Linked DNA regions of Bombyx mori. The protein of the gene in region 1 purifies or fractionates together with the protein of each later gene. This does not show direct contact. Links are inferred from orthologs where the notes say so. Each region holds a gene or a part of one and is shown in the gene's direction. Other genes may lie near its edges.

The links. Proteins that work in one complex are often made in the same cells at the same time.
Region 2: the proteins of importin subunit beta-1 (region 1) and regulator of chromosome condensation purify together in Homo sapiens (affinity purification with mass spectrometry; 3 studies listed by BioGRID and IntAct, counting the BioPlex papers as one, with this or other methods). This does not show direct contact. The link is inferred for Bombyx mori from reciprocal best matches to the Homo sapiens genes KPNB1 and RCC1.

Annotation. Positions count from the first base shown.
Region 1 is NC_085110.1:11,421,321-11,425,083, forward strand, and holds the start of importin subunit beta-1, read left to right. Parts: upstream 1-956; 5' UTR 957-1,094; coding exon 1,095-1,152; intron 1,153-1,925; coding exon 1,926-2,167; intron 2,168-2,541; coding exon 2,542-2,722; intron 2,723-2,877; coding exon 2,878-3,137; intron 3,138-3,544; coding exon 3,545-3,731; intron 3,732-3,763.
Region 2 is NC_085130.1:7,893,014-7,896,676, reverse strand, and holds part of regulator of chromosome condensation, read left to right. Parts: intron 1-501; coding exon 502-681; intron 682-1,051; coding exon 1,052-1,183; intron 1,184-1,559; coding exon 1,560-1,656; intron 1,657-2,455; coding exon 2,456-2,593; intron 2,594-2,776; coding exon 2,777-2,948; intron 2,949-3,663. UniProt on the Homo sapiens protein: Guanine-nucleotide releasing factor that promotes the exchange of Ran-bound GDP by GTP, and thereby plays an important role in RAN-mediated functions in nuclear import and mitosis.

The DNA of each region.
Region 1 (3,763 bases):
ATTTTCAAATTCGGTCATTTGATTAGTGCTTTGTTTTCATCACATTCATGTTAATATAGGTATAGTAAAAATATATGTAATAATGGAATAAGAGTTCCATCGCGGCAACAATGCCGCACAAACAACCCACAACATTAATTATATATGTATGGAGTGAACACTTTGAGTAAGCCTTTCCGGAAATTTGATATAAAATACGAACGCCTAAATCTATACAATCATCAACGACGAATCAGAAGCGATCGTGGAAAATAACGACACTCAAGCTATCGTTGAATTAGCAACAGCTTTTAATGCTAGCATCAATACAATATAGGTTTATTTGCGTCAAATTGGGAAAGTAACAAAACTTGTTATGTAGTTGCTGTACCAATTGAACGATCGCCAACGCGACGAACGCATTAAAATATAAGTTGCGTATACAGTTGCTCGACAGACTCAGAAAGTAAGGGATTTTAAACCGCATTATTACTTGCCAAGAAAAAATTATTATTTTTAATAATTGTAAGCGGTCATCATGTTGATTATACCCTGGTTAAGCAATTAAGCAATGCCCTAAACAAAAACACATCCATAAAAGTCATGGTCAATATTTGATGGTCTAGTGCCGGTATCACACCTTCTGATCAAATGGCAACAGCATTACTGCAGATGTGTGACATGAGGAACTGGACAAAAGTTGAATGCTCGCATAAATAACTATTTGCTATTTGAGATTAATTATGGTAAATCCATTAGGACTTCTTGGAAAGCTTATCATTGTCATGATATATAACCAAATACTTGAAATTGAAAAACTTATTGTGGTTTATATGTGCCTTTTGGGGGAAATCGAGAGAAATTACACTTGATTAAATACCAAACACTTTTTTCTTGAAAAATCAGCTGCTAGCGACATCTTTACCAGATTTCGTGGGCCAGTGTCCTACACTATCACAATTGAAATAGAGTATAGATTAAAAATACCCTCTGCTGGCAACAATACTCAATAGCCAATATTTCATGAGTGTTCTTCCGTCGTCCGCCGGTTTCTATTTTTCAAAAAACAGGATTGAGTCAGTCTTTTGCAACATAAACTTAAGAATAGTGAAACAATGCACGCAGAAACAACATTAACGCTTATACAAATACTTGAGAAGACAGTTTCACCTGGTAAGTAATATGACTAACATCAACATGAACATGGATGGCGTTATAGAAAATAACGTACTTTTGCTACCTATAAACTATGCCATGATTCTGAAATTTATCCGGAAAAACTGTAGAATGGATAAAAAAATGGCATTTCTCAGCAAAAAGCATTTGAATTAAAACGAGACTGTAATTTTATCTAGTATCACCAACCGCAATGCTTACCTGTCATCCAGGAAACTTCTAGTTCAGCTTTCGAACCTCACGATGTCTGTGTTATTAACATTCAATGAAAAAGTGTGCTATAACTTTTGAATTCAATAGCTATTTTAATTCATTGTACATATAAAAAACAAAAAAATAAGTTTAAGGTTAGAAAATAGTGGATATTCTGTAGTATTAAATGAATAGGTAACGATTTTGTACATACATACCCTAATAAGAAAGAAACAATGTGCAACAGGGGCCGTATAAAATATATTTAAACAACATTATTTCAAAGTATAAAAATATTTATTAAGAAATTATAATAAAAGAAGTAGTGGTACTAAATAATCAATTGGTTTTGATGTTCCCTTGGCATGGATGACTTGGATTAGTGATCGTGACTACTCACCATTAGGTGGCCCATATTCTCGCCTGGTTTCAGTGGTAATAAAATACAAAAAAGACCTCACAAATTTGATTCTCTAACACCTTTTGTTTTCATGTGACATATCAGTATACAGACATAGTTAAATTTGGGGTACTTCACTTTGTAAATTATGTACTTAGATTATGGTTATTGCTTACAGATCGAAATGAATTGGAAGCAGCAGTTAGATACCTCGACCATGCTGCCACCACAAATTTCACAACATTCATCAAAATGTTGTCCGATGTCCTTCTCCAAGGTGGTAACAGTCAAGTGGCTAGGATGGCAGCTGGTTTGCAATTGAAAAATCATCTCACTTCTAAAGATCCTACACTTAAACAACAATATCAACAAAGATGGCTGGCTTTGGCAGAAGATGTTCGACTTTATATAAAAGAAAATGTAAGGCAATATTGCAAACAAGAAACAAGTGAAACATTGAAAAATTCACTAATAAGTTACTTAATAATAAAAATATATATAATATTATCTCTAAGCTAAATTGCTCAATTATTGTCTAAATAGCAATTCCCTGTATGTCTTACTTAGATTAAAATTAAAATTAGTAATAAATATAATTTAACACAACACTAATAAATACAAACACACAAGACATCTAAAACGTAATTACGCCACCCATCTTGAGATACAAGTTCTAAGGTCTCAGGTATAGTTATAGTATAGAGCTTGAACTAATGAAGGTGGAGAATCTGATAAGTTCCATCAGGTGTAGGTAACCAAGTTATATTTAATTTTAATACTAGTTTCTTTTTTAGATATTAGCTGCTATAGGAACAGAGAATAGTCGTCCAAGTTCAGCAGCACAGTGTGTGGCGTATGTGGCAGTAGCTGAGCTCCCAGTAGGACAATGGAATGATCTAATACCAATTCTTGTAGAAAATGTTGTTCATGTCCAATCTACTGAACTCAAAAAGGAAGCGACTTTGGAGGCTATTGGTAACTGAATGAACATTTGATAGTTAAAAGAGCTATGACAAATTATGTTATATAAATAAACAAAAAAAAAATTACAGTTTTAATTGTGCTTTATAACTAAAGGCAAATTGCTATTAATCTCTTTAACAATACTGATGTATTTCTTATTCTTCTAGGCTACATTTGTCAGGATATTGATGCTGAAGTATTAACAGAAAGAAGTAATCAAATTCTTACGGCCATCATACATGGCATGAGGTCAACTGAACCCAGTAATCATGTTCGACTAGCTGCTACTCAAGCTTTGCTCAACTCTCTAGAATTCACCAGAGCGAACTTTGAAAAAGAAAATGAAAGAAACTTTATTATGGAGGTTGTCTGTGAAGCCACACAGTCTAGTGACATGAGAATCAGCGTTGCTGCTTTGCAATGCTTAGTAAGTTTTATAAATATATAATGTGAATCCAAGTATTATATTTAAAATTAAAATAAAATACCACCTTAGCTACCACATTAGCTTTCTTCCCATGAAAGTAGAAAAAATTATATACCTCAGGAATATTACTTTTTTGTGGATAGTATCCTTTTATGTCCTTTTCTGTACTCTTGACAGCATTTATGTAAAATTTCATAATTAATGATTGATTAGTTAGATATGAAAGTGTATGAATTACAATTTATATTAATATTACATTTACTCAGTTATAAATTTATAATATTAACATGAATAACAAAGCTAAGACTTATTTTTTGGGATACCAGCTATTGACATGATTAAATTTAAACAATTACTGTATTAATTAATTTAAAAAATAGTTTTTAATCAAACAAAATTATCTTCAGGTGAAAATTTTATCACTTTATTATCAACATATGGAACCTTACATGGGACAAGCTCTATTCCCCATAACACTTGAGGCTATGAAATCTGATATTGATGAGATTTCATTACAAGGTATTGAATTCTGGTCCAATGTGAGCGATGAGGAAATAGATCTCGCAATTGAAGAAGCTGAAGCAGTTGAAGCAGGTATGAAAGTGATACTTCTATTCTCCTGTTGT
Region 2 (3,663 bases), on another chromosome or scaffold:
TACTTAATTTGATTATTTAGGTAAATATAGAATTCAATTTCAAGGTTATTGTTCAAAATGTATTCATTAATGAATAACATTGGTAGTAGCATAATATTAGCGAGTTCAATTTCCTAAATAAAATAAAAACAATTGAAAATCATTCAAATCGGTTCAAACAAACAAAAACTGCACAATCAAATAATCTCCATTTCTTATAAACAATGATGGTATTTGTTACATTCAGCGGATATATTTTCTTGTTAGAAAATCGTATTAAAAGTACCAACATGATTTTAGCAAAATCTAATGTGTAGGCTGATTATAGATGGCCTGGATCGAAGGCCTTCCACTAACTAATAAATCAACAAAGTTTTTAGAAAAGAAACATAAAAAAACGTTGCTATAAATATATAAAAAGCATAATTTTTGCAAACAATCACATTTAATATTCTCGGTTTATTCTAGGCGGTCCTATTATAATTTTTTGTGAAGCCAGTTAAAAATATTGAATGTTTTCAGATTTGGACTTTTGGTTGTAATGACGAAGGTGCCCTTGGACGTGCCACCAGCAATGAGAAGGATGAAGGGACTCCCAAACAGGTTTCTTTGCCTGTCGCAGCTGTGGCTGTCTCGGCTGGAGACTCACACTCTGCTGCTTTATTGCAGAATGGAGATGTTTATGCTTGGGGGTCTTTCCGAGTGAGTTTTATTCTAAAACCTGACTTGCTCTCAGGTTGCATACCTACTTTATGGGTTTTTTAATCATAATTTAAAGTAGAAGATAATATTTTTACCAAATAATTTCTTTTGTAAATAGTATTTAGTTGTTAAGTATTAGTTTTTACATTTAGTATAAAAAAATAGTTATTCTTGGTTTAAATTGTGTATTTAAGTTACTTTTTTATTGTGTGACCAAGACCAATATTTTCAACAAACTCAAAGCAAAATTAACAAGAATCTTTAATTCAGGCAAATTCAATATGCTATAATTGACATCCACTTGGTTGTTGTAAAAAATTATAATTTACTTTAAGAATTAAGTACTTATCATTATGACTGTTGTTTACAGGATTCTCATGGTAGCATGGGACTGGTTGTCCGAGGGCGCGAAGGAAAACCCTGCAAAGAACCTGTTAAGATTGACATCGGAGAGCCAGCCGTAGAAATAGCATCAGGGGGTGATCATCTAGTTGTATTGACGGTACGTAACATTTCCTACTTCATACAGAGTTGGTTATGTGAGTTAAAGTCCAAGTGTTAAAAGAAGAACAACTCCAATGATGGTATAGTATCTCATTATGGTGCTTTTAATTTTCCGAGTTCCTCTGCCAAGGCAGACATGATAGTGACAGGAACAGAATTATGTGTCCATCATATACACTTTTTTCTATGTTACTGTAATATTATATAAACTACACACACAACTGCACACTAGCACCACTGACATCCCCTACAAAGCCCGCCCATTTCTGCCGAGGGTGGGGCGTTCGAAGGGTGGCGCATTTACGCTGTAGATGTCTATGGGCCCTGGTAACCACTTAACATCACATATGCAATAAAAAAAATGTTGCTTCCAGACATCAGGCGGTGTATTCACACTGGGCTGCGGGGAACAAGGGCAGCTGGGCAGGCTGGCGCAGAGATCAGCGTCTCGAGACGCCAGGCAGGGCTTCAGTATGTATACCTTTTCTTTATTCAGCCAAGAAATGTGCTTCAAATTCAGTTTACTACTTATTAAAGTACAATGTATTGTGGTACTGATTTGTAAATGTTGTGTTTTCATATTGTTTCCGTTTTTTATGACCTAATGAAAATCGTTGGGTCACGTTGGATGTCAGTGCCAATGGACCGGCCGCACTGGAGATTAGAGAGGCATATGTTCATCTGTGGATAGCTACAAACAGTACAGTAACTGTAGTTTGGGGGAATCGGGACACTTTCCAATCCCAAACCAAATTTTCAGTAGTTTATCTTAGGGTAATATCAATAAAATTGAGATTGAAACGGTACCAGAGGTTAAAATGTTCATTTACAATGCATTAATAACATAGTAAAACATACACAAAAACTTAAAAAATTTGCTTGACCTGATCCACCTTGGCTTTTGGGGTGAATCGGATCACATATGGGGACAATAGAGTTTTTCGATAGGGGTAGCACCGTTAGTTGTTAGGTAGGTAATTAACTTTTTAATATCTTTAATCGGTTACAAAACTGATGACTAAACTATTTAATATTCATAAACACTAAATTAAAGTCTTATCCAATTCAACAAATTGAAATCTCACAAATGCATTGTGACAACTCAGATTTGTCCGCTCTTCCCCCAATGTCCGGTAGTGGAGTAGTGTGGTGAGGTCCTTTTGTCCGTACTCTCCAATGTCCGGTGGTGGAGTGTAGTGGGTGTGAGTAGTAGGGTCCGGTTGTGATAGTGTGAGTAGTAGGGTCCGGTTGTGATAGTGTGAGTGTGCAGGCGCGCTGCTGGTGCCGGCGCGGGTGACGCTGCGGCAGGCGGCGGCGCGCGTGTGGGCGGGCCACCACGCCACCTTCGTGCTGGACGCGCAGCACGCCAGACTCTTCGCCTTCGGACTCAACAACTACGGACAGCTCGGTCAGTGCACCTCTCACTAGCCATCAACACTAGATACAGTTTTTTTGAAGTGAAACTTCTTTAAAATCGTTGTGAATCGTCGTCTGTGAGTTAAATCCAGTCATCAATGCTCCTTCCTAATATTATATACGATCTACAAATATTTATGTATACAAATAATAAAATATTTAAAATATATTCCAGGCATAACGGGTGAGAAACGTAAAACAGCGTTGTTTTCTCCGACCGAGTGTGACGCACTACGAGCCGTCGGAGACGATCACGCGTGGAGCGCTGTGGCCCTCGGACAACATCACACACTGACGCTCGCTGCCAACGGACAGATATATGCGCTGGGACGTTGTGAATATGGGAGGTATGGGAAATTCCAATATTAACCATTTAAAAAAAAAATTATAACAAAGCTTAGGTTCGAAATTGCAAGGCCGTCAGTCAATGCAAGAATAGCCTGACCCAAAATTTTCATATTCGTGCAAATTTTTATGCAAAACCGGCATATCCCTAGTTTCTGCCATAGATAACAAGTGACTTTGAAAACATTATATATATGTACTCGATATCAAATTTTAAACCCCTTATCTCCATAGTAACCATGGTAAACGTAGGCTACTTTTGCGCTTTTGAAATGCCAAAATTTCAAAGATTAAAAAATGTAAAGACAAGTCTCCTTTAAAAATTAGTTCAGATTGATTTTTAGTTATTTTTAAATTTAAAATAAAAATATAGGATCAAAATTAATAAAATTATTCCAACATTAAGAGCGGCGCGATAAATATGGCCTGGGGCGGCATCAAGCCCTAAATCCATCACCAACCTTAGTATATCACTGTTTTTGTACCACTGGTGGTAGGACGTCTTGTGACTCCGCACGGGTAGGTACCACCACCCCGCCTATTTCTGCCGTGAAGCAGTAATGCCTTTCAGTTTGAAGGGTGGGGTAGCCGTTGTAACTATACTGAGACCTTAGAACTTATATCTCAAGATGAGTGGCGCATTTACGTTGTCTATGGGCTCCAGTAATCACTTAACACCATGAGCTCGTCCATCCAATAAAACATTTTATGTATTGA